6 linked regions of the Daphnia pulex genome follow. The protein of the gene in region 3 purifies or fractionates together with the protein of the main gene of each other region. This does not show direct contact. Links are inferred from orthologs where the notes say so. Each region holds a gene or a part of one and is shown on either strand. Other genes may lie near its edges.

The links.
Region 1: the proteins of WD repeat-containing protein 76-like (region 3) and lymphoid-specific helicase-like purify together in Homo sapiens (affinity purification with mass spectrometry; 4 studies listed by BioGRID and IntAct, counting the BioPlex papers as one, with this or other methods). This does not show direct contact. The link is inferred for Daphnia pulex from reciprocal best matches to the Homo sapiens genes WDR76 and HELLS.
Region 2: the proteins of WD repeat-containing protein 76-like (region 3) and poly [ADP-ribose] polymerase 1-like purify together in Homo sapiens (affinity purification with mass spectrometry; 4 studies listed by BioGRID and IntAct, with this or other methods). This does not show direct contact. The link is inferred for Daphnia pulex from reciprocal best matches to the Homo sapiens genes WDR76 and PARP1.
Region 4: the proteins of WD repeat-containing protein 76-like (region 3) and DNA repair protein complementing XP-C cells homolog purify together in Homo sapiens (affinity purification with mass spectrometry; 3 studies listed by BioGRID and IntAct, with this or other methods). This does not show direct contact. The link is inferred for Daphnia pulex from reciprocal best matches to the Homo sapiens genes WDR76 and XPC.
Region 5: the proteins of WD repeat-containing protein 76-like (region 3) and T-complex protein 1 subunit beta-like purify together in Homo sapiens (affinity purification with mass spectrometry; 4 studies listed by BioGRID and IntAct, with this or other methods). This does not show direct contact. The link is inferred for Daphnia pulex from reciprocal best matches to the Homo sapiens genes WDR76 and CCT2.
Region 6: the proteins of WD repeat-containing protein 76-like (region 3) and dnaJ homolog subfamily A member 2-like purify together in Homo sapiens (affinity purification with mass spectrometry; 3 studies listed by BioGRID and IntAct, with this or other methods). This does not show direct contact. The link is inferred for Daphnia pulex from reciprocal best matches to the Homo sapiens genes WDR76 and DNAJA2.

The regions. Positions count from the first base shown.
Region 1 is NC_060026.1:9,602,024-9,606,813, forward strand, and holds the start of lymphoid-specific helicase-like, read right to left. Parts: upstream 2,907-4,790; 5' UTR 2,683-2,906; intron 2,597-2,682; 5' UTR 2,571-2,596; coding exon 2,537-2,570; intron 2,465-2,536; coding exon 2,235-2,464; intron 2,164-2,234; coding exon 1,906-2,163; intron 1,848-1,905; coding exon 1,707-1,847; intron 1,643-1,706; coding exon 1,460-1,642; intron 1,371-1,459; coding exon 1,229-1,370; intron 1,170-1,228; coding exon 1,082-1,169; intron 1,015-1,081; coding exon 786-1,014; intron 718-785; coding exon 559-717; intron 489-558; coding exon 286-488; intron 221-285; coding exon 102-220; intron 49-101; coding exon 1-48. UniProt on the Homo sapiens protein: Plays an essential role in normal development and survival. Involved in regulation of the expansion or survival of lymphoid cells. Required for de novo or maintenance DNA methylation. May control silencing of the imprinted CDKN1C gene through DNA methylation.
Region 2 is NC_060024.1:8,492,615-8,497,413, reverse strand, and holds the start of poly [ADP-ribose] polymerase 1-like, read right to left. Parts: upstream 3,154-4,799; 5' UTR 2,996-3,153; intron 2,913-2,995; 5' UTR 2,880-2,912; coding exon 2,766-2,879; intron 2,701-2,765; coding exon 2,556-2,700; intron 2,489-2,555; coding exon 2,337-2,488; intron 2,266-2,336; coding exon 2,054-2,265; intron 1,997-2,053; coding exon 1,783-1,996; intron 1,690-1,782; coding exon 1,607-1,689; intron 1,536-1,606; coding exon 1,410-1,535; intron 1,352-1,409; coding exon 1,253-1,351; intron 1,189-1,252; coding exon 1,028-1,188; intron 959-1,027; coding exon 801-958; intron 738-800; coding exon 671-737; intron 413-670; coding exon 205-412; intron 125-204; coding exon 1-124. Other genes in the region: uncharacterized protein CG1161-like, read left to right, coding at 3,444-3,509, 3,592-3,822, 3,886-4,011, 4,074-4,217; U3 small nucleolar RNA-associated protein 18 homolog, read left to right, coding at 4,791-4,799. UniProt on the Homo sapiens protein: Poly-ADP-ribosyltransferase that mediates poly-ADP-ribosylation of proteins and plays a key role in DNA repair.
Region 3 is NC_060024.1:10,606,396-10,611,366, forward strand, and holds WD repeat-containing protein 76-like, read right to left. Parts: upstream 3,080-4,971; 5' UTR 2,908-3,079; intron 2,840-2,907; 5' UTR 2,838-2,839; coding exon 2,383-2,837; intron 2,328-2,382; coding exon 2,203-2,327; intron 2,147-2,202; coding exon 1,880-2,146; intron 1,813-1,879; coding exon 1,637-1,812; intron 1,550-1,636; coding exon 1,468-1,549; intron 1,404-1,467; coding exon 1,262-1,403; intron 1,199-1,261; coding exon 999-1,198; intron 931-998; coding exon 812-930; intron 741-811; coding exon 588-740; 3' UTR 369-587; downstream 1-368. UniProt on the Homo sapiens protein: Specifically binds 5-hydroxymethylcytosine (5hmC), suggesting that it acts as a specific reader of 5hmC.
Region 4 is NC_060026.1:11,145,196-11,149,846, forward strand, and holds the start of DNA repair protein complementing XP-C cells homolog, read right to left. Parts: upstream 3,004-4,651; 5' UTR 2,749-3,003; coding exon 1,744-2,748; intron 1,680-1,743; coding exon 1,169-1,679; intron 1,106-1,168; coding exon 141-1,105; intron 71-140; coding exon 1-70. UniProt on the Homo sapiens protein: Involved in global genome nucleotide excision repair (GG-NER) by acting as damage sensing and DNA-binding factor component of the XPC complex. Has only a low DNA repair activity by itself which is stimulated by RAD23B and RAD23A.
Region 5 is NC_060023.1:8,135,164-8,139,789, forward strand, and holds T-complex protein 1 subunit beta-like, read right to left. Parts: upstream 3,256-4,626; 5' UTR 3,079-3,255; coding exon 3,076-3,078; intron 2,839-3,075; coding exon 2,665-2,838; intron 2,607-2,664; coding exon 2,341-2,606; intron 2,243-2,340; coding exon 1,939-2,242; intron 1,885-1,938; coding exon 1,757-1,884; intron 1,552-1,756; coding exon 1,377-1,551; intron 1,321-1,376; coding exon 1,143-1,320; intron 1,073-1,142; coding exon 869-1,072; intron 803-868; coding exon 630-802; 3' UTR 460-629; downstream 1-459. Other genes in the region: CCR4-NOT transcription complex subunit 7-like, read left to right, coding at 4,005-4,029, 4,104-4,413, 4,478-4,626. UniProt on the Homo sapiens protein: Component of the chaperonin-containing T-complex (TRiC), a molecular chaperone complex that assists the folding of actin, tubulin and other proteins upon ATP hydrolysis.
Region 6 is NC_060020.1:3,557,661-3,562,492, forward strand, and holds dnaJ homolog subfamily A member 2-like, read right to left. Parts: upstream 2,933-4,832; 5' UTR 2,834-2,932; coding exon 2,765-2,833; intron 2,575-2,764; coding exon 2,288-2,574; intron 2,224-2,287; coding exon 2,143-2,223; intron 2,080-2,142; coding exon 1,946-2,079; intron 1,889-1,945; coding exon 1,746-1,888; intron 1,685-1,745; coding exon 1,544-1,684; intron 1,475-1,543; coding exon 1,289-1,474; intron 1,202-1,288; coding exon 1,010-1,201; 3' UTR 651-1,009; downstream 1-650. UniProt on the Homo sapiens protein: Co-chaperone of Hsc70. Stimulates ATP hydrolysis and the folding of unfolded proteins mediated by HSPA1A/B (in vitro).

The sequences.
Region 1 (4,790 bases), on a different chromosome or scaffold from region 3:
TTAATTTCCCCGAGTCCTTAACCATGCTCTCGTCAACAACGTATTCTCCTATACAAGAAAATATTAAAAAATATCCCGGATTTATGAAACTTGCAACCCACCTGTCTCCGCATCAGTTTCCCATTTGACAAGATGTGGGTGGTTGACAATCTTTTTTAACTGCATAAACGGATTTTGCATTTTGATGTTGGTAGACTTCGCTTCGATACTTTTCTTTTTCCTACAGAAATGATGGAAAATCAATGTGTTACACATTTATGTATAAAAAAAAAAAATTATAATTACGGTTGACGGAGTTCCCAATGCAAGTCATTTGACATTTTCATCCACTCTTCAATATCTGCATCGACTTTTTCAGCAGAATCCTTCTCCAAGTTTTGCGTTTCCTCTTCAAATCCCATGGTCGAGTAATTTATGTCTAGCCTCTTGGCTTTCCGCTTAGGTCGGCCGTTGGCTTGATACTCCAATGGCTCGGGTTTTTTATCGAACTTGATTTTGAATGGGTTGGATAACTCATTATTTTCAGAGATTTAAAAAAATTTGCATTTGAAAGTTTACCTCCGCTCCTAATACAAACGCGATAGTTTTGTCAATTGTAGCGCGATATAACTCATCTTGAATTTTGCTCATTGGACAATAAACGATAAGCTCTTTCTTCTTTGGAATTTCCAAGTCGACATCAGTTTTGAGACGACGTAGGAGAAATGGAGATAAAATCTACAAAGGCATCGATACAGCATTTATGTTATCTAAAGTAGATTCGAAACGAAGGAATAAAAACGTACCTGATGAAGCATAGAAAGTACATTTTCTTTGCGTTCCAATTCAACGATTTTATGGTCTGTATCTGATCCTTGAAATTCTTCAACACGGAACCAAGATGTGAAAACGTCCAAGTCATCAAAAATTTCTGGCAGCAAAAAATGAAGCAAAGACCACAATTCTGATAGATTATTTTGCAACGGCGTTCCAGTCATCAGTAGACGATTATTCGAGGGATATTTTTTCAACTCCCTGTTGAAATAGTAAGGGTAAATTTGTAATTGATAATACGTACACAAAATTAAAAAGATGTACGTACTGAACTAATCGGCATTGATGATTCTTAAGTCTGTGACCTTCGTCAACGATGATGTAGCGCCACTGCAAACGCCCCAATGATTTCGTTTCTAAAAAAAGAAGCAAGATTTATTAATTCAATCGTATTTGAGAAAAGTTCATTAGAAACCTCGAATGACCACTTCAAATGAAGTAATAACAACAGGATAGAATTTGACGCCGTCGATTCCAGGTATTTTAAATTTTTGTTTGATTTCCCCAAAAATTTCATCCCGTTTTTCCTGACTTCCGTGGTAGAGTACTACAGGTATCTGTAAATAATTATATAAAAATACATAATAATATTTTTGCCAAACAAAAGTATCAATAAAAGCAGTAGAACTATTTTGTTTTTGCTTACACGAGGTGTGAACCTTTTAAATTCCGCTACCCAATTAGTAAGAGTGGAAAGGGGAGCACAAACAAGGAAAGGTCCTGTAACTCCCTTACCCATGAGATGGGCAACTAGTGAGATACATTGAACTGTTTTGCCGAGACCCATTTCATCTGCTAGGATACCGTTCATTCCGTTTTCATAAAGAGACTACGATATAAATAAAACAGAGAAATTAGTGGAAACCAACAGTTCATGCAAGGATACTTCATACCACAAGCCACTGAAATCCTTCCATTTGATATCCTCTCATGGTACCTCCTTCAAAGAGATCAGGAAGTTTTTCATTAACTTTATCAGTTTTCTCAGCCTTAGCAAGTTCTTCTTCATCATGATCCTCAAAATCTTCCTCCACCTGGCCAAAAAAAAAACTGTAGTTATATGTGCACTTTAAATGTATAGATAAATTTTACCTTTGCTGCACGTTTCTGAAGTTCTTCTTCATCAATCACATTCAATATGTTTGCATCAGATAAATTATTCTTGCGCATCCTCTTCCTTGTTGTTGTATCAGTTTTCTCACTAGGACTAAGCAATTCAGGTTGACGCTTGGCTCCTCTTGTCTTCCTTCCTGACTTTGGTATCTCTGATGGTGTTTCTTCAGTCTTGGTGGTTCCATTCTCTTTTTGCTTATTCTTCCCTGCTGCTTCCCTTTTGGATAACTTTTCTTGCTACATGTAAAAAATAATCACTATAAAATATGAATAGAAAAACTCTAAAATACACTGATGGATATATTTACTTTCATTTTGTCTTCCTCCTTCTTAGAGTTCATTCTTTTTAGGAGGAAATTGGCATAAAACTTACTACGATCAAGCAAGCACATCAACCTTTTGTATCTCATTTCATCAGCATTTGAAACTTGATTTTCTGATTTCCTGGCTTCAACCAATTCAGATTGTTTATCATTTTCTTCCTTTTCAATTTCCCTTGCAAGATTTTCTTCTTCCTTAATTATATCATCTGGCAGGCCTGTTGATTATAAGACCACAATTTTTCACTGAAGTGAAATAATAACTTGTAAAACGTGATTTAAAGGCATACTTATAATTTCTTCATTGATGAGAGTCTCAGACATTTTTTTAGAAAGAAGGAAACAGCCTTCTATAAACGATAATTTTGCATCGTTTAAAATGAAAGTTTCTTTTAAATTCTAAAACAAAGGTAGACATGAATATTTTAAGGCTTACCTTTCAACAGAAAAAATGAATGAACAAAGGCGTTTCAGGCCGTAATCAGGTTTACAAACGAATGTATGAGCGGAATGCAGTAAAAAAAAGCACGCGGTTTATTAAGTTAACTCTATTCAAGACTAATAAAATGTAAAGAGAAAAGAGTGGAACACAGCAAGAACGGGTAGATGAACGACTGCATTCACTGCAATTGTGCAAAAGAATTAAAGAAAAAACAAGTTATGTCAGTGGCGCGAAACAGCGCCACAGTGCGGGTAGTTTTCTAGTTACGTACAACTGATAATAGCGGCTAGCGGCGCACCTAGGGAACTGCTACTCTGCTAGTGAGAAAGGGGTCAGCAGAAGTCAGAAGAATAGAAGCGGGTTTTACGAAGCGCTCTCGGTTTGATCGGTTTGATCCTCAATCGAAATCGGGATCTAAGTGTTTTCAATTGTAATCACATTTCTGTTCAATTGCGCCATTTAGTTCTGATTAATCTGATGGAATCGAAGATTGCTTAACTTATATTTGTTAAAAAAAAAAAAAAAATTACCTCATTTTCTAGAAGGGAACTTCTTCGGAACTAGTCCTTACCGAAGGCTATTTAACACAGACAGGAAATCACTTGGTTTATTTACCAATGATTTACTTGTTTAGCCTACTTCTCATTTCTACCGTGCGTCACTCATACAATCATATTCACAAAATAAACCTAGAATGGATTTCCCCATCTGACGTACGGGTTTTCCTGTCGTCCATACAAAAGATAACCTTACGACAAGCTTCCTCTCTCGAAAGAAATTCGATCGTTTACCCGCCCATTCGCTTATTAGATTCGCTTGTCATCTTCGGTTTGAAGAGTAAACCCAACATGCCATCGAAATTCTGAATCTAACCCGAGGACAATTTTCGACCCTTTCTTTTACTTTGTTTGTGTCAATAAGTACTCAGTGATGCAACGTACCAAGACAAAATATACCTTATCATGCTAATAACTTCGATGTGAAGTTGGCTATTTGAATTTTTAAAAGCAGAAAGCCGATGAATACATATTCTCTGTTTACTTACAACGTCCTCGTGCGACGTACATGAATGATATAAAAGGCAAGGTAATTTCAGTTTTTGACAGCAATCTTGTCTCGAATCACCTGTCAGTAAGACTCATTCGTCTCTTTTCTTTGAAAACCTACACTACACCGTTATGAAGTCTTTCGTGGTAACTTAATTTCTATTTGAATATACTATAATTTTTAAAAAGGTTTTTTCTATTTTTGTCTTACGAAACAGATTATTCTATCTGTTCTGTTGAGCTTCTTGACTTTCAGCGGGTTGGCCCAGACGCACGACGTACAATCTTTCTCTGAAGAAAAACCGTTCACTCCGACATACGTGGGGAAAATGAAATTCGCAGATGTTGTTCAACCGCAATTAATCCGTCATTCCCGGCATGCGCCCTTTCTTGCTGGAGCAGCAGTTGGAGCAATCGTAGCGAACAATCGTCATCCTAACCATAACGCTCCCAGCTACTACTATCCGCCTAGTTATTATCCATCGGGTCATTATCATACTCACGGGTAGAAACTTAAATCAGAAGGTTAATTTTTCTGCAGTTATGAAACAACAACATCTCATAATCCCAATAACTAATTTACACACATGACAGATCTGCCAACAACCAATACCAATGACCAATACATTAGCCAAATTTACTGGAACATTTATTCATACTTTATTACGCTTCATATAGTCTAAAAAATGTAATCACGAGTTTGAAATTCCATAAAAAAGAAAAAAATTCCATTTTTTTCAGCATTAAATAACACATAAAAAAAAAAAAAACGCTGGTTATTTTGTTGACGATTTCAACACAAGCTAAAGCTGTGTAATTCTTGTATTTCTAAATTGTATATTGTATACAAAAAATTGAAACGTCCAAAACTTTGGCCGCATGAGGCCGAATAGAGTACAGTCTGTACTCCAAGACAAAAAGCGGTCATTAATAAAAGGAGAGAGGTGCTTTCGGACGAAAAGCCGCATTGAATTTGCTTGGTCACTGCCACCCTGATACCAATCGCTCATCGCTGTTATCTTTCAAGCAGACGAAATAAATAAGTCAAAAGATCAA
Region 2 (4,799 bases), about 2.1 Mb from region 3:
ACCAGTTTTCTCCTCGTACAGAGCAACAAAATCCTCTATTGCTTCTTGTTTGGTATCCATCTTAGTTAGCTTGGTATCTCCAATCGTTGTACCAACTCGACCCCAAGCACGGAATACATGCCACCTGTCGAATTAAAAAAAAAAAAAAAAAAAAATTATAGTTGTTATCTACAATTGCCACTGGGGGAAGCGAAGCCAATTTACTTGTTTCCTTTGTCGTGTTCAAGAATTTGAAGCTTGTAGTAAGAATTTCTTCCACCTTGAATGTCAACGATCCCAAGTACAACGCTGTACAGACCATTTTTCGTCTTCAGGACATGTGCTTTATCTTCCAAACCAGAATCGGGATCAACTACTCCTCCTCCTTTAAGTTTCAGCTTCAGTTTATCGGACATGCCTGAACCAGATTTTTCTGCAAACGAAAACACAATTTAGTTACGAGATTCAGCTTCGTTTTTAGCGTGAAATAAATCAACAAATATGTTAGTCGCGTATCTGTCTATGAGGGCAGACTTGGATCCCTTCATAGTCATCAGACGACTCAATTAATTTAGGATTGAGTTGTGACCTTGAACTTGATTTACTTGCAAGTTTAAAGCGTATGACTCCCCCATACTTATACTACAGTTTTTACTGGGAAACATTAAAAGTAATAAACAGTCCAACCAACCTGAGCCTTTCGATTTTCCAGAAGATTTCGTGGCACCCGACTCGTCCAAACCAAGACGCTTCTCGATCTAGATTTATTACAGTTTTTAAAAAATCTCAAAAATTAGGGCAATAAAAGAAAAAAAATTTACACTGTGGCAATCCCATGGTGCGATGTTTTTCTTCGTTATAATGGATGAGGCAGATTCGCCAGTGCTTGCTTTGATTGCATCCAAAAAGCTAAGGTCTACAACATGAATACCGAGTTCAGACGCTTTCTTCAACTTTGAATCCTTTTCTTTTAAATTGTCTGTAAAACAGTAATACCACATATAAAGGCTTAATCTCATAAGAGAAACTACCCACTCAAATTTCTAACCTTTCGTAGAAATTACGGCTGCAATTTTTTCGGTAACGCGCGAACCTACAGAACCTAGTAATTTTTTTATTTCAGCTTCGACTTTTTCTTTAGACTTTTCAAGCTTGGAATCAAGAATGAATTTCAAGCCTTCTAGTGTGGGTGGGCGTTTCGAATCGGATCTAAAAGAAAAAGAAAACATTAATAGACAGAACTAGCACGTTATCTAGTTGAGTAAATAGCTACTTTTCTTTTTTCACGTTCACTTCTTCGGTTGGATTCATACGAATAGTGCGAGTTAGCGCTGGGATTACCCTCTGTCCGGGAACATATTTGTACTTTTTCCTATAGAAGAATGAAGTTTAGAAAGTAACTTAATGTATGGCAACAACAGCCTTATTACAAAAATGAGTAATTTTCCGAGAGGTCCGATGGAACTTTGAATGGTTTCCTTTCGGGAGTTGTTGTCGAGTTGGGGCACTTCGTCCAGCCACTCATGTTTCCAGAGCATTGATAACCCATGCCACTCCTGTTGTAGAAGAAGAAGTAAATCTATATAGGTAAGGCTTACCGACTTGAAATTTCTATTATTTTAATCACTTGTAGAAAAACTGTCCACTTTTGCATTCATTGCATGGAAGCAAAGCTCCAAACGCCATTACATCGGCAAGAAGGTCCAACATCTAAAAAGATAAATAGCTGCATATAGTTTAACTATGCGACATATTGATTAACACTCAGAAGAAAATAAAAATATTAATAAAAAGTGCAAGTACTTCAGATGTTCCAGAAGGAATTTGCTGATCGTTGTATTCCAGCAGAATCTGGAGTTCTTGTTTTGTCAGAGTTTCCAACTGGTCTCTGTATTTAAACTGAATTTTATTTTGCTTCTTGATCTCTTCCTTGAGCTGTTCATTTTCTTTTTCTTCTTTCTTTATCTTCTTTGCATCCGAAGGTCCGTCGACAGCATCCCCGTCAACTTTTCGTTTGCTGAAAAAAGAAACCGTTATAATACATGATTTTCCAAATTTCGATTCTTGTCAATACTTAGCGGAAAGAGCAGGGAGTTCTTTTGAGAGAACTTTTTTGTCGTCGGCAGTTAGATCTTTAAATCCAGGGATTGTATCCACTCCGCTAACAAATTCTAATTCTTCTCGTCGCTCTTTAAAACATTTGACGTGGTACCACATATCCAACATTTGTCCATGTCTCATGCCTCCTTTGGTGTCGTATCCTTTCTTTGATATCCTCAATTCATCCTACAATTTGAACATTATAGACATGTTTGAACATGGATCGTTTTAGAACTTGCACTTAATGATTATAATACTTTTGCAATTTTTTCTAAGCAGCCTCGACATGCAGCTCTCCCAGATTTTGCATACTCAATTAGAAAATCAGAAAAGGGTTCAGCAACTTTAGCTGTTTTCCCCTTGCCTTTTCCTTTTTTACTTGGTTCAGCAATCCCACCTTCACTGATTTCTTTGGAAAAAGGAAATAGTTAGAAATCAACTAAATACAATGTATAGCAATATTAGTAATGTTTTACTTTTGAGCATCTGATTAATTTTCTCTTGATCTTCCCAGCGCAATTGATCAAAATGTTCAATGTCACCAGCTGATTTGGGCCGTTGCCTTTCAAAAAAGCAATCAAAGTGGTACCACGAAACCATTTTCCCATCAAATTTGGCAGCCTAAAACAACAATACTGTACTAGTGTACAAAGTCCAGAACCAAACAATAAAAAATAAAATGTTACCTGAAAGATTACAGCAAGTCGTAGAGTGCCTTGAGGAATGTTTTCTTTGCATTTCTTGCAACTAGCTCGACCCGTCTTTGCATATTCTGCTCGAAAAGGTAAATCATCCGCCATCGTTTTCTTCTGAAAATGAACGTCCCACGATTTCTGGGATTTCGGAAAAATCACAAAAAAAAACACAATTAGCATTAGCAGTTCATAATTTTAAATGAGATTGAAATGGGCCATACCTATATATTCCAATTTCCAGTGCACTCAGATAGTTTGAATTCTTGATTCTTTTAACACAATCTTTTCCACTACTTCGAGTACAACGTCCTCCAAACTTCGCAGTTCGCACTTCGCAGCCGACAGAGTTGGGCACGTTTTTAGGTAACAGTAGAATTTCGAGATGGCGCGCTAGGAACAAAACAGTGTTGTCAGATGGGGGCTCCTAAGTGGCGAAAATGGAGAAAAGTTTATTTAGAACTAAAAAGAATAAGTAATTAAATTTCAATTCCACAGTAACGTTTAAATTTTTATTGCTGTAATACATGTTTAACGACCCATTTCCTCTTTGAACAAAAACAATGTTTCTTTTTTTTTTTAAATAGCAAACCAGTTGGCGCCACAAGCTGTGGTCGACAGTCTGTCAGCTGTTTTGTTTCCGACAAATCAGTATCGGATTTTGCTGCAATTATGACACTTCGAAAGAGTTTCTTTCTTTCTTTTTTCGTCCTTTTCATCTTCTCATTCATCAGTGATGTATTGATTTTTATGTTTACTATTAAGAAAACATTGCTTAGAAATTTAATGATTTTGGTTTTGTTTGTTTTTGTCCTAATAGGTGAATGCACAGTATGAGGATGTCAGATGCAAGTGCATTTGTCCAGATACCGCCGTAGTAAACGGAACTCAGTCACATAGAAAACTTTACATTGAAAATGTTCCACCTAACAAATGTGATTGTACAAATGTTGTGCTCCCAAGGGTAGGGGATGATATCAAAGGAAAGGAAAAAGAATTTTGTCCACGATGTGAATGCAAGTACGAAAGCAGGAACACAACAACAATCAAGGCAAAAAAACTGTTGACATAATGTATTGTAGACTATTCTAATATAAATTTTTTTAAATTTCAGGTTGTTGTAATTATTGTTATCTGGATAATATCTCTACTAGTCATATACATGCTGTTTCTTGTTTGTCTTGATCCCCTTCTCAACAAGAAAACCACTACACAATATCAAGAACATAATAATGAAGAGGTATTCTATAAATTTCTCCCTTTTCTTCCTTCAATCATCTTTTTAACTAATTTATCCTACAGGATGAAAGTGAAACCCATTCTCAACCTTTAAGGGCAAGTGGAGCAGGTGTGCTCAACCGTGTTGGCCAAACTACTGATAAGTGGAAGAAAACTGTTCAAGAACAACGTCGACATATTTATGATCGACACACTATTCTTAACTAATCACTTTTCTAAATTCCAATTCTATGATCTGTAGATGTTTGCGCGTTTATTCTTATTCTTATTTCAAATATTTCATTCACCAACGGAAATAAAAAAATTAAAGTCTCATATCGTAGAGTTTAAGATTCTTTTTTCATTGAAAAATATCAGAGGGAATGTAACTTGGTAGGATACATTAGTAGGTTGCTGTAGGCCTACTAATCATGCGCGAAACTAGAATGCAGCCGGACAAGTCATAAAATCAAGATTCAGAAGAAATTTTCGTTGGTGTCTATTTGATAATATACAAAAGTAATAAATCATATTACCTCATTATTTTTATGGTTAATTCGCTAACCAATTACTTCATTAGTCTTCATTAGCCTGCGAGTCCCTGGCGAGTCCAGTCTTGTCCAGTCTAGCCAACTTGGGATTTGCTCCCACTATTTACCTATTTCAGATAAAGTGGATGTGGAGTTTGGAATGACTGTTGCAGACGAATTTAGTTCAAATTGAAAATTACAAGTTTAGAAGCACCCAAGCCATCAAGCACGTGTTTATTAAGGTGCAACAAACGAAGAAATAACACTTAAGATGGGACGC
Region 3 (4,971 bases):
TAAAGAATATTGCCGCCAAATAAAAATTTATACCAAGTTAGCAACACTTAGAAGTTAGAACTTGAGCAGACGATTTTCATAGTTTATCCGTTGGGAAGCGGTAAATGCGGCGGAAAAGTCACTAAATTGCGGAAACTCGGCGCTTGAAAAAGAAAAACACGCAAGCCGACTCCCATCGATCGGAGATAAAAATTAAAAAGGTAAGACACTTTTTAAAAATAGAGAGAATTGAGAAAACTTAGAGTAAATATGAGAGCTAAAACTATGAACAGAGATTATGTGTGGGTTCGACTATTTAAGTTTGACCGCTTTATATGCCAGCCACCAGTAAAAATTCAAAATTTGTTCTATCAGTCTCACAATCAAACTTGTTTTTTAAAAAGTGTATTGTATTGGGAGGAGCAAAGAAGCAGGCACATACATCTATCAATTCAGAGGTAGAATTTGAGTTATCTACTCAGACGAAGCCTTCAAATTACCAACGAAAACTGCTTCCACACAAATATATTGTGGTTTTAATTGTGATGCCACTTAAAACTTTTCAAACCAAAATCGTCGAAAAGTCGTGAAATATTTGGAAGGTAAAACTAAGCACGGAAAATGTGGACTCGGCCGCTTGAGTTGCCGCCAGCAAAAATAGGTACTGTCGGGTGAAAAGCGTTTATTGAAGTCACCGATGCCAGGAAATCCCCGTTGAAGTTATGGAGGAGTGTGCCGGAGGGAGCGCCATACAGTTCCACCTATTTAAAGAGTCAGTTCTATTTATTTTGTTTTCTTATTTAAAAAGAAAGTTGTTTTTCGATTTTATTACTCGTCTAGGCTGTTCCATGCTTCCAACGATAAAAACGTCATCCCGTTGTGGATGCCAAACAGCTTTGAATGGGGTGAGCCAACGTCCAGTGAAGTTGTTATGATATATGGACTTGATGCCTGTTAATAGATTTTGTTTTTCTTTCATTCCCATAAATTTCGATTAGGTAATATTTTATTTTATTTACACTCTGGTTCGGATTTGCCCTTCTGGACATCATACAACTTCAAGGTGTCGTCGGTACATGTAGTCAGGGCGTACTGTCCGCTGATAGGAGAGAAAAACGCTCCATGAACTCCTTTTGGAGCTTTCGGGAAACTAACGACTGGCACGGCGAGGTCATTATTGTTTGTAGACGTGTATCGCACATCAAATATTCCTATTTCTCTGAAATCAAAAGAAAAATTTTAATAAGACAATTAATTTAATTAATTTTTTTTTTTTTTTTACCCGTAGCGATTGCACGTCATGAAGAGATTTTCATCCTGTGGGTGTAAACTAACTGTTCTGGCGCTCATTTCAAAACATTGGATCAAGTTTGCAACGCTACCAGGTTTTGTCCGGCAGTCAACTACCGCTACATCTCCGTTGGCTACATATAGCATCACAATTCGGGTAAAAATTTGTTTATACAGTTTTTTAAACTTATTACTTACACTGTGAAATGATTAGGGTAGATGGGTCTTTCTGAGCGTGATAGGCTGTCCACGTTTTATTCGTTCTTTTGATCGAGTAAACCTTATGATCCAAGACAAGTTGACAGGAGATTAACGCCTTCATAATTTCACAAATTTCTGATTCATGTTCCTATTTCAAGTATATTACCTCATCAAACACGTTGGAATGCAAATCTAAGCATCGGACATAACCATCGTAGCTAGTGGTTAGCAATCTTGTTGAGTTAAACTTATCGAAAGTTATGCAGTTGATTGGTTGGTTGTGAACCTTAAACGCCCGAACGCCTTGATGTTTGTCGTCAAGCTTATCAATATCCCAGAAACCTGTGCAAATTAATGAGATTTGACAATTTGTTTCACTTGGCAGAAAACAAGCAATGTATGTCATTACCAATGTTCCCATCACGATCACCGACGGCAACAAGGAGCTTGCAGTTACTCGGATGCCAAACAAGGGAATAAATTCGAGACTTGGACACCTTGGCTACTCCTTCCTCGTTAATGCTGAAGGATTTCATCAATTTCAAGAAATCTTGTTGATCTGCAGGTAATTTTTCTAATTCACCCTCTTTTTCCAACAAAGGAATCATTTCTTCTATAAATTTGCTGTCATCAATTGACTCTTGGTCCAAGTAGGCATCAGCTAATGTAAAGGTACCTAAAATTAAAGATTTTTAGGCTTAGCTTATAACAAAAAAACTTTACTGCATTTACCTGATTTATTAACTTTGGGATTACTAGGCCATTGCTTGATTTCATCGTTATCTTTCATAATGACAAATTCTTCTTTAGGTGGCTTTCTGCTTCGTAAAGACATTCTCAAGGGAGGGACTTCAATGCTATGCAAAATATGTTTGTAAATCTTTTCTGCAATCAATTCAAGTTATTACATACCTTTCATCCATTTTCCTTTTTAGTCCACGTTGAGTGGCTTTGTTTACCTTCTCCCTAATTACTTCACTCTCAAAATCCTTTTTGGCGTCCCCAACAAGTTCTTGGAACATTTTCCTTCTTTCTTCAATGTTTCGTTGAATTTCCTTTTCATATTCTGACATTTCAGAATTGGCTTTTGTAATCACATTTTCTGTCTTTTTTTCACTTTTTTTGACAGGTGTTTCATTTTCCTCATTAGATCCCTCAGAGGATTCACGTTCATCTTTGATCACTTTTTTGGTTGGTGATGTTTTTTGGGGAGTTTCCAGATTCAATTTTTCAATAGAAACATATGGATCAAGAACTGTGAAGTAGTTTTTAATTGTTGTCTTCGTTTTAGGAGAAGAATCTACATTTCTTGGTGGAGGAGACTGGACTGATAATTTTTCTGACACTCTTGCACTCCTTCTTGCCATTTCTAAGCAAAAAAAAAATACGTATTATTTAGAGGTCATCTACAAGGCAATTTAGTAACGAATAACTCACTAGTATCGATGATTATAATAGATTGAATGTTTAAAAAATTAGTCCCGTACAATGGAACACCATAATTTTACGAAGCACGATAGGTGATTGTATTTTACACGTTGCAGAAATCTTCCAATTCTAGTTCCAGAAACACGCTCTAGAAATTTGCCGCCAAATCCAAGGTACATACAAAAAGCTTTTAAGCAGACGACTTTTTTCAGTTCAAATGCCGCGGGATTCAAACTTGGCACTCGAAAAAACCCGCAAGCCTCTACGGAAAATTTTCATCATCGGGATATAAATGGTAATCGCTCCAGGAAACATAATTTTATTCGAATTCTTTTTTTTTCTGCTGATTAAATGTATTTCAAATGAAATTCACCCAGGGTTAAAGCTACAAACACCCACGACCAAAAGTCCAAAATAGCATAGAACCTCAAGCAGAGAACTCGAGTGGATATATGGCAGCAAAGGACCAGCAGCTTCCACACTGTAAAAATATCATAAAGAGTAAGGTAAATATAGTTAAAAACGCAACAACTTTTCTGGATAACTGTAGAAAAACGAAGAATTACCGCTGCTTGGTTTCGAATTGGTGCCATACATTTATGCTTGCGATAATCCAACTAAATCCCCAACATTTTTTAAATAATTATTTAGAAACTCGTAATATTCTTCTCAGTTTTTAAAATCAAAATCAATATTTAAAATACGTACAGTAGCAGGGAGAGCTTGGCGATTTTCACGGCTAATTGTAGTCATTAGAGTACTTCCTTTTTCGTTGGCTGGTTTCTTCTTTCTTGGCTCCATCAGTGCGGCGATTTTAAAGTCGAACTAAATTTGAATTATTATTATTATTATCCTTTCATTCATGTAGTATGTAGTTACAGATTTGCTGTAAATTCAATTGGCACATTTGAATTACCCGAAGGGTTACTGGTCAAAGTTTCGTTTACAGTATGGTTTACATGGGCACCCTCAGTTCTCGTAACACAACATAGATGGCTGCACTAGTTTTTGGCAATTATTGATTGTAATCAACAATTTAATTGCATTTCAATGGCAGCAATCGGTAGCTTACAATTTTTTACATCTATTCTGAAAATTTGGCTGCAATCAATTCAGGCGTTTGATCAAACGGAGTTCTTGTTACTTTTTGACAGAATTTCAATAGCTGTTAGAGCAGACGATAATACAGAGACATGTGACAGGATGACAGCATCGTCTCTATTGAATATGACCAGCATGACCCAGGATCGAAGAAAAAGCGTAGAGTACCGCCGTTGATTGTTGGACCATCTCTAGCCTGTCTTATTTTTCTTTTCAAAATTATCATCCTGTTGGAGTAATATTGTAGGCTTATGATAGAATAGAAGTCACTGTATGTTATTACCTAACCGCACCTAACGCTATCAATCTCCAGTAAAAGAAGTGCTGATAGGTAGTTACTTACATTTAATTTTAACAACATCCGGTGTGACGTGGGGTGGCGGGGCGAAGCCTCCGCCGCACCAAAGTCACGCCTTACCCTTACGCCGCGCCATATCATATTAGGTTTTTGGGAATTGAATTTGTATTAAATGTTTGGATAGAAACATGCGGAAATATGCTTTTCATCTCTTTCTCGATTTCTGCATATTACATTCTTCCGGAAACTAAGGGCATAACATTTTTGTTTTAAATATTATTAATTAATCTTAATAATAGGCCTACCTTTATAACAGAATATTATTTTTATTCTATAACTATTCTATAGCTCTGCCTTTATAAAACTATACCAATACAGCAATTCTACTATTCCAACTAGTATACCCTTAACATCCCCTTCGGGTACCTTGCGGCGTACGTACGCTGCCTACAGTGGTATCTATTACCATATCAGAGAAAACGTTGTGATCTTGTTTGAATTTATTATTACGGTCCTGGTGTAACATAGATGGAGCGTCGGTCGTTCAGACGATTGCCAGTTTTATTGTTTTGATTTTTCGAAATCGACTAATCGAGATCTGTGCCGGGCTGCCGGCCTTGAATCAGTGTCGGATCGGTTACATTTTACATGGCAGACACACGTAATTTACATAA
Region 4 (4,651 bases), on a different chromosome or scaffold from region 3:
CCCTTGCATACACAGGTTCCTTACGTATGTAACCCACTGGAATGGCAGTTGGAGGATAAATTGCTTCAAACTAATTGATAAAAATAAATTGGGTTAAGCGAAACGAATTTTTACTTTATAATATAGAATAGGGTTTATACCTTTAGCAAATGCCGCTGAAGAGCATAGAGTGGATGAGACTTGAACTCTGAGATGCTGGTGGGCATGGGTCGATCAGTGAGGCTTTTTTCCATGCTTTCGTCTTCGGCCTTGGATCTGGGACTAGGTTTTTCTCGATGAATATTCAAAAGTTTACTCCAGGTAGGATGTGCTCGCTGTTTGCGAGTAGTCGACAAAAACGAGGAAGCATAGCGGGCTGTTACATCCTTCCATGTCAGATCAAAATTGTAAGCCACTGCGTATAGAAGCGGATCGGATGCGTTCCGCTCTAAATGACGATCACAATGAATCTGACCAGAAATGACATCCACACTCATCCACTGTTCTTCCTGTTCTAAATAGACTTCCATCCATACGTCGGTAGTTTTCTTCTTTTTTGCTAAAGCGTCGCCTTCACTGTCAGTGGAAATGATTTTCTTAGACCGTTTTTGAGCATTACTTTGAGCAGCGTGACTCTTGTTCTTTGTCGAAGTTGTAGATTTCTCTTGGATTTCGGAATCATCAGAAGTGGGTTCTTCATACTCGTCAGAAGAACTTTCCTTGTTACGCTTGAGAGTAGTTTTCGATTTTGGTTTTTTAAAGTCGCCTTTAGTCGTACTTTTTTTAATCTCCTTCGGGGAAGTCTTTTTCTTATTAACAGAAGTTTTACTAAGCGAAACAGCTTCTTCCTCCGTGTCATCAAAAGGGGATTCTTCATATTTTACTGGCTTCTCAGCTGACTTTCTTCGACTACGTTTGCGTAAATCATTCGGTGGATCAGAATTCTTCATTTGAGATGTTGAATCCTTGATTTTTGAAGTGCTAGGCCGCGACTTATGAGCTTCTTGGGGGTTTGCGGCACTTTTAGTTTTTGGTGATTCAGGTTTGAGACGACCTTTTCCAGCTGTAGCAAGAGCTTTACCTTTATTTGAACTGTTTTTCGGGTTAGCAATTGTCTGCTCAGATCCTGATTTAAAAATAAGAATTTACCGATAATCCCAGATTGACCAACATTAACAAGTTTCCTTACCAACAGTAGATTTTGCGGATTTCTTGGTCCTCCTGTCAATGACGCACCGAACGTCAGATGTATTAGCTTTCTCTATCTGGACAGGGGAATGTTTCTTCTCTTTTGTTTTCTTATTTTGATCTGGCGATTTCTGTTGAAGTTCACTTGAATCCACTTTGGCCGGTAAAGGCTGAAGAGATAAAACCAGCCGAGATAAAATACCTAATGAACGGCACACGGCAACGCAGGTGTAAACTAATTCTTCAACGCTCTGAGCTTTACCAGAGGAAATACAGTTTAATATGTCTTTTACTTCTGGATTACTTTGGGTTACTCTCGGTGTGCCCACATTAAAGTGTTTTGCTACCCATTTCATAAATTTTTCTAAATAATTAAGATCGGTGCGGTTTGGTGGGAATCCTGTTGGTGGAACAACAGACAGCGCTGAAGCCATCACCACTGGATCACAGAGCATTTTATTGACAAGGTAGCCGTGCGCTAAAAGCCCAACTAATGATACCTGATGCAGATCCTGGGGACAGAACAGAAATGATTAAATTTATCGATTTCAATAATTATATAAACATTTTTCATACCATTTGAATTTCCTTACGTATTCGATTGATTTTAAGACGAATAAAATTTTCAACGTCTCGTCCCTTCTTTTTATGTTTCAGCCCTGTAACTTCGAGGGTGATTTCGACACTTTTAGGTAGTTCTCTATCTTGTTCAGGGACATCACATGATGGCTTTACTCTTTCCCAGTTTTCATCATCATCTTCAGAGCAAGAAGAGTCTTGAACTTCTTCTTGTTTTAGCATTTCAGCTAAACTGATTTCATTAGTCTGATTTCTCTTTACAGCGTTTTTGGTCCTTGTTTTGGTAGGAAGTTGCTTTATCTTCTTTCCTCTTGCTTTAGTTGAAATGACTTCTGTTTTCATTACTGATTCATTTTCTTGTTGTGATTCATTTTTTAATGCTCTCAAATTTTGTATCCAGGGATCGACACCAGTTGGAGAAACATCCAACTGTTCCACAAACTCTTTTTGTAAGGAAGTGCAATGCGATCTTTCTTGATCCTCTTTCATACATAAACTATTTGTCATTACAGAATCTTTATTACATTGTTTTTTTGAAGCTGATGTGGTAGTTAAGCAGTCATTTTCAGAGTCTGATGAGTCACTAAGATCAAGTTCGGATTTCATTTTAGAGATATCATAACTTACAGGTTTGAACCCTACATTGATTGGAGCTTGTGCAACTACTTTTGCAATTTTCTTTCTTGGAATGTCTTTAAAACTGGTTTCTGAATGTCTATAATTTCGTTTAGCTTTAGCCAACTTGGCAGCAGATGTGGATAAAGGCTCTATGCTGGTTTCTTCGTGATCTTCTGTTTCTTTGTCTTGATTCACAAAATCATCATCCTCTGAGCTACACACAATTTTTGGAGGTGGTTCTTTTAATTCATCATCATCACTTTCATGGTAGCTTACTTGATTTCTGTTAGAAGATCGAGTGATGTACCTTTTTCTCTCAGCCATATTTTCTTCTGTTTGAGGGCTTTCAGATTTCCTCTTGTTAGCTCCTTTATTTGGAGCCATTTTAATTTAGATAATCTCGTTATTATCTTTGCTTCGTAAATTTTTTAACCCACGCGACTGACTTTGAAATTTGATCCGTAGCTATTTAATCTTCAAGGACAAATAAAAGAAACATTTTTTTTCTATAAAACCAACATCACTCTTAAGCTAAAAAATCACAAAACTTCAATTTCTGACACTGTTGAATTTGAATGTTGATTTGATTCAATTTGATTGATGCAGTATACAGCAGACGACGATGTTATAATAAATAATACTCTGCATTCTGCAATCCGAGGCCCCGAGGGGTTATTTTATTATAGAGTGACATCTAGGGCCAGGGTTGAAAAGGTAAATTTAAAAGGTAAGTGAAAAAAATTGGTGAAGCGGATGAGCGTAGTTTAAAAAAAACGCCAATATATTAAAATTTTTATTGTAATGTTGATAAATTTGGACACCCAATTTATAGAGCATTCTTGATTCTCGATGAAAGCTTGAAATTTTTTGAATTTCCCTGGCTTGGGAGAAAAAAAGGAATTCGTATGAAAAAAACTTCTCTCTCTTCTTAATACCAATTATTCAGCTTTTTTTCGTGTACCTACCTAATTGATTTGTTAGTTACAAACGCATTCACAATCATCATCTTTAGACCAGAGAATTCCACAAATTGCCCCTCTTGAACCCGGAATGAGAACAGCACTCTTTTCTTTTATAATATTTTTATCAAATTTCATCCAGCAAATGCCTCCCTGCCCCTGAATTGCAAATTAATTTAAAATTGGTTGTAAAGGTGAATTGAAATTCGCGAAAATGTCATTTGATTACATTACTTCAACATTTGTCCAAACGAAGTGGTTACATGGCGGGTTTCGTTTGCAAAGCTCCCCACAGAATTTTCCATCGGAAGGTTCTTTTTTTATATCATTTCCAGGAAAGTTGCAATTATGGGACCAAAATAAATCGTTTTCCAGCTTCCATGATATCACCAAGTATCCACAAACAGATCCTGGAGAATTCAAATGAATTCTTTTTTCGGGTAATATTCCGCCCGATTTTGCCCAACAGGTTCCATTCTATAAAAAAATTCTCCAAATTAAAAAAAAAATAAACATCACAGATGGTTCATATCAGTTTTACATAAGGGCTATCTACATTTTACAAGTTACTATACTTTCCTGTGGAGAACGGACATTATACGTCGCATACAGCTCAATACACTATAGCGATTAAATGCGTATAATTGAGGCACAAACTTAGCAATGTCCACTTTCGGGTACTGTAAAACTGTAAATACATGCCTATGTAAATGACAAATACTTGCACATACTTTATCGGAAGTTGTAGTTGTAAATGTGAAATGTGTACAATCTGCAACATCAAATTGGCAAAAACCTCCACATTCTTCTGCTTTAATTGTTTTATTTACAACATGATTTCCTTCAAAATCACAATTGTTGTCCCAGCGGGTGCCTGCAGCGGACTCCCAATTTTGAAGGGCCATTTCAGTCTTGATGATAAATAATGCCATCAAATATGAAAAAATGTTTTTCATGGACACCATGTTTAGACTTGTGTTGTGAAATGCCTACGACAAACAACTAATTGCATGAGTTCATTTTATTTCCTAACCGGAAAACAAAAACCACAAAATAAAAGCTAATAAGCTATAGGGCTCTTTCGGATCTGTTTTCTTTAGCCGTTTTATCTGGCAACGCAGCATGGCTGGTAGACTTTTTTAGCTCGAGAACGGGGAGAAGAGGGAAAATGGGACTTTCTTACTGAAATTTATACTGTATAAAAGAATCTTCTGGATTAGCTTATTTCACTAAGATCTTAAGTCGTTTATAAATCCCCTTTTCTGTGAGCTCAGGAAACCTCGCTTTGCTTGGCGGTATGGTTTTTACGTAAGGGGTGGAGCCACTCC
Region 5 (4,626 bases), on a different chromosome or scaffold from region 3:
CCTTCATGCCTCTCTGCCATCTTAAGACTAAATAAAAGTGCTCGCTGCTCAGTTGCCAAACAAACAAAGGAGAGTCGTCCCAAGGGAAACGAAAATTTTCTTTTTCCGTATTCGACGGCCTCGCCGGTAGGGCGAGTTGCCGAAAGGGAGTTTTTGGGTTTGAGTAAGTGAACTATAAAATGATAGTCTGAAAGCAATTTGTATTCCTTCTTCTGTGTAAACGAAAAATAAGTAGCTGTTGCTTTTAGATAAAAATTTCGGCTCGAAAAAGAAACTGGAAAAATGGCTTCACGGGCGAGAAAGCTTGACACACCAAGCTCTAATGAGATTGTGCTCACGTTTCCATTTTTAAGTCGTACGGAAATACCATAGCTTTCTAAAGAGAAGCCTTTTAGTATATTAGAGCTGGATTAACTAACAGAGCAGAAACTAATATAAAAAAGAAGAACAAGAATTAACTTCTTTTACTAAGCAATTGTTCAGTGTATCAGCTGTAGTAGATTATAGGACCAGTACAGAAGGACGAAGCAAAAGAGTGGGCTCGAGCAAAAAGAGCGGACCACTTAAGGGGGGAAAAAACTGGATGCGAGTTCAAGTTAGGACGTAAGCTGTGCATCGACAGTGCAACTTTAACAATGACTCCTGTCTTGTTCACGACGGCGAGGTGCTGCCTTAATGATGTCATCAACGCGAAGAATCATTTCAGCCGCTTCAGCTGCTGATACAAGCACCTGGCGCTTGACAACGAACGATTCAGTCACGCCCAACTGCTGCATACAGTCGATCTTGCCGAGATCCATATCTATTTACAATCAATGAACACATTTTAGAATTGCATGTGCAACATGAAGATTTTCTGACGACATACTTAGACCAAAGGTGGCTTTCCCTTCTGAATGTGCTGCTCGGAGCTCTGACACAAGTTGGGCTGAGTCATAGCCCGCATTGTCGGCAATCACGACGGGTAGCTGGAGAAGAGCGCGGGCGAAAGCCTCCATAGCCATCGATTCTTTACCCGGAGTCTTGGCAGCCAAAGCATATACTGCCATGGCCATGAGTACTTCGCTGCAACCTTGGGATTTTGAAATAAAATGGTAAAATCCCAGGTGCACGACGGATAACATGGAATACAAAAATAGTACCTCCACCGTAGACGGTGCGTGTTTCCTTAACAGTCGAAGCTAAAACACACAGAGCATCGTGAATTGAACGTTCAGCTTCATCAAGAATCTGTTGGGTTGCACCACGCAACACAAGTGTGCAAGCTTCACCCAATGGAACGCCAGAGAATCGCAACAATTTGTCTTCACCAATCATGACCTAAAAAACAAATTACGTGAGTTCTTCTTTCTACCAGAAAGTGAAAGTTGCTCAACCTCTTCGATAAGATCACAGCGTCCAAGTTTGACAAGTTCGGGATGGCCAAAAGTAGAGACGATTTCACCTCCAGTTACCAACGCAAGGCGCTCGATACCATCAAAGTCGGCGTGTTCCACAGCCATAACACCGGCATCAGCGAACAGTTGTTCTGGGTAGTTGTAGATCAATTGTCTATAAAATCACACAAATAAAAAATTTTTGATTTAAAAATCAACCATAAATTATAAAATTTACTACAGAAATTCTAGAATACATGGATAATAAATAAGCTAACTGACAGAATCTCAAATATTTCATAAACAAACAAAAGAATTTCTGAAGCCATATAAGATAGCAAATTTCAAATTAATGAAAGAATTATGAAAGAATGACAAACCTGTTGATAAAGACGGTGCAATTGTGCTTAAGAATGAGCTCAATCTTCTCCTTCATCTTTTCTTTCTCAGCCAACTCTAATTCTGCAACTTTAGCAACGGAATCAACGCGGATACGTGAGCCGAAAACCTAAAAATATGGATTAAGTTCAAATTCTTTGATAGTCATCGAAGTTTAAATTACTTTGATTTTATCTGTGTCCATGGGTGTATTGGCAATAAGGATACGGGCATTTTCAACCCTCTTTGGTTGGTTGACTCCCGGTTTCTTGTCAAGCAGAAACCCAGTGTCGAGGAAGGAATCTGTGAGGGTACCTCCTTGCTTTTTGATGATTTGAATAGCTTGAAGGTTACCTGATCCTTTCAAACGTAAAACTGCGTCGACAGAGATCTTGGCAAAGAACTCTTTGTGCTGAGAAAGAATTTTTGAGCTCAAAGTCGTTCGAGCAATGTTCATTAAATCCTCGCGAAATTTAGCTTCATCTTTCCTATAAATGAAACGAGATTTTAAAAAAAATCAATACATTGATCAAATACATGTTGTGTTGGTCTTTTGTGCAAAATGAAACTATTATGTCTATCTTACCCATTATCAATAGCTGCATTAGTAAGAGCCTCTTTGGCAGCCTGAGAGGCCTTACGCCATCCAGCAATGATGGTTTGAGGGTGGAACTTCATTTCAACAAGCTTATCAGCTTCACGCAAAAGCTCTGAGGCCAGGACAGTCACTGAAGTTGTGCCATCCCCAACTTCAGCATCCTGGGTCTTTGACATGTCTACAAGGACTTTAGCTGCAGGATTATCAACTCCAACTGCTTTCAAAATGGTGGCACCATCATTTGTTACTTCAACCTAACAAAGGAATTTAATGACTAAGTAAAATCAAGCACAAGAAAAATCTTAAACCTACTTGTCCTTCATTGCGGCCAACACCAACAAGAATTTTGTCCATGCCCTTAGGACCAAGAGTGCTTTTCACCAGCTCACCAATGGCAATGGCACCAACAAAACAGGACAAGCGAGCAATTTCAGCCTTCTCTTCTTCACCCTCATGTTTCAAGATTCTGGTTGGGTTGAGTGAGACCTAAAAAATACATAAAGTTATAAAAGATTACATGATCATTTGGTTCCATTTACTCAGAAAGAAAAAATTCAGTATGAGCAAATTTACATATCAACCATGTGACTTTCTGTCAAATGACAGTACGCCATTAAAACATAAAAGAGAGAAAAAAACCGACTTTTCACAATTGATTATTGAAAAGTGAATTGCGACTTTGATACAGACAAGTAAATAAACGAGAAATGACGAATATCGTACCATTTTTAGATAGCCGGCTGAAGTGATTCGGTTCTGACTTGCAAAATTACGTTCAACCACAAGCACGAGGACTTCTCTCTGTGGCAGAAAGAAGAAAGGTGTAGCTGGAAACCGTTTAGACGAACCTGATCCTTTGCCGCTGGACGTCGCCTCGGAGTCACACTAAAACGCGGAACGTACATGCAAAAGATTCAACTTGAACATCATATAGGCCCTACCTGCGTGCGATATCTGCAAAAATATTAAGTTTGGCATTACTTCCGCCAGATTATTAGATTGGAACCAACGATCGAATTTGGAAGTACGGTTTGAAGTTAGTCTCCAATTAATTTGTTTACAACCTATTTTAGAGTTCTTACTCTGAGCAAGTTAGCATCTTACAAAGGCAAGTATTTTTGGTTTACGTACTCCTTGAAAAACATAATTACTTGTGAGTATTGAATAATGTCAATATGTCCTTTTGTTAATCGATTTGTCTTGCGTTTTCAACATTTGTAATGAACGAAAACTCCCGCTCCGCAGTTCAATTTGACGTTTTAGGGTTGTCGTTCACTCGTTCCATATTTTTTCCGTATTTTGTTTCGCGCTTTATTTATTAAGGGGCTATCGCCGCATTTCGTTTGTCAGCTGTTTTTTTCTGTCAAACAATCTATCGCTATTTTCGAAGATGGCACCACTGTATATATATAGAGGCTGTTGTAAAACTCGGAAAACATTTCAGGTGAAGTTCCCACTGAGTCGATGTGTCAAATATCATTTTAAATTTAACCTAGTGGTGTTAATATCGAATTAATTGTAGGGTTCTTTTATCAATTTATTGTTTTGAAGGCTCGAGTGATGTGCTGCTGGATATGCTAGTTTATACGAATTTGATTCTTTGTGTAATCTAGTGTGATCACTGGGTTTCTGAAACTTCACTATCCATAGCCATGCCAACTTCAACTGGTATAAATCGTAACTAGCTTTATTTATTTCATTAAATCAACTTTCTAGGACAATGATTTTTACACTTTTACTTTTTTAAATAGGAAATATGCATCCTAGTAATGAAGAGTGTGGGATTCGGGAAGTCTGGGCTCACAATTTGGAAGACGAATTTAGACATATACGCCAGATTGTACAAGCATACAATTATGTAGCCATGGATACTGAGTTCCCAGGAGTAGTTGCCCGTCCCATCGGTGAATTTCGCAGCCCTGCTGATTACCAATACCAGCTTTTAAAGTGTAATGTAGATCTTCTGAAAATCATACAACTGGGCTTGAGTTTCCTGAACAAAGACGGCAAAACACCTTCTGGGTACACTACCTGGCAATTCAATTTCAAGTTTAATCTTGGGTAAGGTTTCTAAACCAAATTATTTCTCATCTGAAGACTATAAATCTTAATCTTTGTTTAATAGGGAAGATATGTATGCACAGGACAGTATAGAACTGCTCCAGAACTCTGGTCTCCAATTCAAAAAACATGAAGAAGAAGGCATAGACCCATTAGATTTTGCTGAGCTGATGATGACTTCTGGGATTGTTTTGATGGATAACATCAAGTGGT
Region 6 (4,832 bases), on a different chromosome or scaffold from region 3:
GCAAGCTGAACACACATTTCACGATGAAGAAAAATTGCCATAAAAGCGACTGCCTTTTCTTCGCTGATGCTCCGCCTAGATTACACGTCACGGTGAACAATGCAGAAAAGCCAAGCGAAGACAGAATAAATGCTTCAATGAGCTTCCCAGTTCGGCTGAACTGAACGTCTGAATTGTCAGCCATCAACATCATTTATTGTTCAAACTCGACATGCCGATTTCCTCAAGTCGCAACTAGCGTGATCCCGTTTTTCTGTGTAATCCCTATCCGGAAGCCTTTGCACTCAGATGCTATTCTAGTTTCGACATCCAAACGGAGAACGCACACACTCACATCCCAATCGTCAATTTTGATTAAGTCACTCGAAATGACAGCCAAAATAAAATAAGCTCTGCTTAAGTCTTGCCACAATGTTTCCATTATTGTCATTGAGTTATCAAGATTTGGTGATTGACTAAATGTAGGGATTCGGTAATGATCTGCAGTCAACAAAACCTGTGATAACGCATCGTTTTCTTCTACAAATTGGAACAGTGACATCATTAGCAATGGCGAAGCAGCACAACGGATCCTAATTACAGTATGAGTAATGATGAGTAAACATGACAAGACAGGGAAGGGCTACAGAAAAAGAACCAAGCTTGAAAGCTTGAAGTGACATCGTTTATTTCGTGTTTACCAAAGGATGTCAAGTCGAGATAGGGGGGCCAAGATTCCCAGAGTACAAATTCAAACGAAAAACAGTAATCTTGATTGTTCTTTCACTATATGCCATGAAAGGCAACGATTCACCTAACCAGCGTGACGGTGAACAGTCGACCCCCCACTTCTTAATTTTGCTACACTGGACGAACAAATGTTTTCAGAACGACAAGCAATTTTTTTTTTTTTTTAAAGTCGAGGAAAATGTTTTTCAACTTAAGATAATTCAAGATTTGAAATTTGGTTATAAAGGAAAGGGAATCGCCGAATACGAAAAACAAGATCGACTTGTTTTCGCTTGTGAATCTACTGATGGGCGCACTGTACACCTGGTCCTGATGGACCTCCCTCTTCATCGTCAGAATCATATGCGTTGCTGGGTCCGCCAGCTCCGTCACGGCGTTCATTGGCGTCGTAATCGTGAAGGTCAACCTCCTCGACGTGCTCTCCTGAGGGTGGAATGACTGAGGGTCGTCCGGGTAAAAGTTTCTCGATCGCCTATCGAATTTCACAAATAACAAAATTGAACATTTTGTTATTTCATTAACTAATCCACTCCCAACTGGTTTTCAAGAATTAATGTACCATAATTGTTGATTCATCAGCAAAATGGCTAGAGGGGAACTCTACGTCAAATTTAATAAACAGCTCTCCTTTTTCGAAAGGACTACGGTAACGAGGCATTCCTTCGCCGGGCACCATCTTAGTGCTGCCGGGTTCGACTACGTTTCCTGGTGCTTGTCGGATCACCAAATCACGGCCGTCGAGATGCTATTGGCACCAAAATATAAAACGGTAGAATAAAAAAATCTGTCGAAAAGAAATCTTACAACAACTAACCTTCAACACATAGCAGAACCCACACAATGCTTCAGTCAGAGTTATAGTGTGCATCACGCAAAGATCGTCTCCTTGTCGCTTGAACTTTTCATGGGGTTTCTGTTGCAAAATTATCACTACGTCGCCAGCTTCAACTCCGGGCTATTGGAATATCACAGTTATAAGACACTGCAGATCAATGAATGTTTGTAGTGCAAAATACCTGTTGATCACCTTCACCGCGAAACAGAATTTTCTGTGAATCTTTCATGCCTTTGTCGACGTGAACTTCCAAAATTTTGGTTTCGTTCTGTACTTTCTTGCCTTTACAAGCCTTGCAGCGATCTCTCTCGTTGATCATCTCACCTGTAAGATTAATTCAACATTAGACAAGGAAAATTAAAATTTCCAATGGTTGTTTACCTTCTCCATTACAGGTTGAACATACTGACTGAATCTGTTGCATCATACCAGGTCCAAGTGGTCTCAGGGAAATTTTTATTCCACGACCTTGGCAGGTTGCACAAGTAACATTGGCTCCAGGTTTGCCACCTTGCCTGTAACAGAAAAAAAAATTTGTAAAATACTGGCCAAATCAAATGACATAAAAATACACATACCCACTGCAAAGAGCACAAATGACATTCTTGCTCAACTGGAGCTTGGATGTCTTTCCATTGTAGAGGTCTTCCAATGTCACTCTAAACATACAAAGACATGTTAAAACCTAGAAACTAAAGCTGCACACAGCACAAAGAGCCTTACTTGAGAGGGTGCACAGTATCTTCTCCTCTTTGACGAGTCTTTCGACGACCACCACCTCCCATACCTCCAAACAACCCACCACCAAAGAAATGGGACAGGATATCATCGGCGCCAAAACCACCATGTTCATGTACACCTTCTTGCAATCCTTTCAGTCCATGTCTGTCATAAACTTCTCTCTTCTTTGGATCAGACAAGACTTCATAGGCAAATGATATCTCCTTAAACTTCTCACCAGCCTCAGGGTTCTTGTCAGGGTGGAACTCTTTGGCTAGTTTTCTGTAGGCCTAAAACAGATAGAGAACATGTTAGCAGAAATCAGTTGTCATTACAAAACTGCTAGATAAGTAGCCATTGTTCCTAGACATGCCACGACATGACCCTGAAAAATCGATAGTTTGTTCTTGGAATTTAGAGTCGTATTTCGGATTTTAGAATATTTTTGCTTCACAAAATTAACACCGAACACATAACTACCTTTTTGAGTTCAGCATCGGTGGCTTTGGTTGGGACACCAAGGATTTCGTAAAGAGCATTGTCAGCCATCGCAGATTTTTTGACCAGCAAGATTGCAGAACTTCTAGTAAAATGGTAGGTCTAATTTGTCCCAAAGGCCGCACCACTCTCCTTCTGAGGGCAGTGAGGACAGCAAGTTGGTTCTTTTTGAGGCAACCATCATTAAGGAAACCAGCTAGAGTCACCCAGCGGCGACTTGTCCAATTTTAAGACGGAGGGAATTATTTGTTGGGAGATGAATTTTGTTCCTTTTATTATAATTGAAAACTAAAATTTTAGTGTCAAATTTTGTTGTACTATTTCATGAAAAAAGAATTAACGATGGGAAAACATCACCATCTTCGTTAATTGAGTTCTATTTGATTGATGAGTTCTTTTCCCTACCGCTATGTGGGCATAGATGGTTACTGAAAGATGATTGGCTCTTGTCCAAAGAAAGAATCGGCCTTGTACATCAAGTTATCGGTGAAAGCATCATTGCCATGTTTTTCTTTCTCATCCCGAGCTGCGCAATGGCCTCATTCTTTCGGATGGGAGAATGAATTTTCTGTTTTCGGTGGCAGAATACGAGAGAACACTCAACTCGGTACTCATTGAGGCTAGGTGGTTCTGCAACTTATTAATTACTAGCTCATATAAACATGGTTAAAATATCGACCACATGCCTAGAATGCCTGCCGAACCCACAAATTCCTGCTTTGCGCTCATAAAAAATTTTAATTCGGAGCCATTATTAGACTTCGAGGAAAGCCACGGCCCATGGCTTATCTCTTTTTTATTCAAGGTTATATCATATTTTGTTGCAGTTTGTATTCATCTGAGAAAAAATTTATGTCTCTGATCACTAACAATGGGGCGAAAGTCGAAGTTAATAGGTATAAAGTAAATTTTATATGCTGCACTGATTATAAGAGTGAGCTGTAATTTTAGAATTTACTAATTTGCTCGTGATAAGGGATGAGCATGTCAATGTCATACATAGAGGTTTTTCCTGTTATCTTCCAGACTCGAAAAACAAACAAAATTCGAAAATACGTTGTGCCAAGTTGGTGTTACGAATGTGCTTGATATTTAAATAAAGTTGATCCAATCGTAACAACCTCTAGTTATCGCATTGTTGTATTGGATTTCATAATCAGTTTTATACAGGTAACTGAAAAAATATTTGAAAAATGTTCATAGCCAATGCAATGCTCCTCGAATAATTTATCAAAGCAAATTAAACTTAGACTAGCCGAACCAAATTCCGTATGAACGGAGAAAAATAATTTGTTTTTGGCTCGGCGGTAGCGGCAGGGGAATAGTTGATAGTGCACATTCCTAGACGTTTTTGTCTAGGTCTCTGCCGAACAGCGTTCTTCCCATTTCCATTTGGCTTTAATAGTGCAGAGTATCTTCGTAAAATTGCTGTCAACCTACACTTAAGAACATGCCAATGAAAATTATTCGTTATGAATTCCGTCTTACTTCTTTATTTTTTTAAAATTCTATTTTGTCGTGTGAAGAAGAAATGCATCCATCTCCGCTGAATTAAGGAAATAATTACGGTGTAAAGCGCCAAAGATTAGAACTGATAGAGAGAACAAAGAGCTTTAATTTTCAAAGCACGAGCCATTTGGTACGAGGATTTCAGTTCATGTTTGGCGACTGGTACATTATTATTAGGAAAATATTCTGCGTTTTTCCCAGTTTATTACTGAGAACAACGACATCTGCTGTTCCGTAGGAGGAGGGCACTATTGGCTTCGAAATTGTCGAGTCTAACATTGAAGGAGGAATTCCTAGCTGGAATGCACCTTTAGCTTCGCTCGAATTGGTGTTTCGGCATAACTTGGAATTTTTGGACATTTAGAAGTGATTTTCACTCCTAAAAAGTGTTGGAAATAGTTCAACGATATCATCTTGTTGAGACACCGTGGTCAATTTCTGGGTTTTCCTGCAAATTCATGGTAATGCGAACTTAAAAACCGTTGGGGAAAATGTTGTGTTATGATAATGGGTCGCATTCCAATGACGTCACAAATAAAAT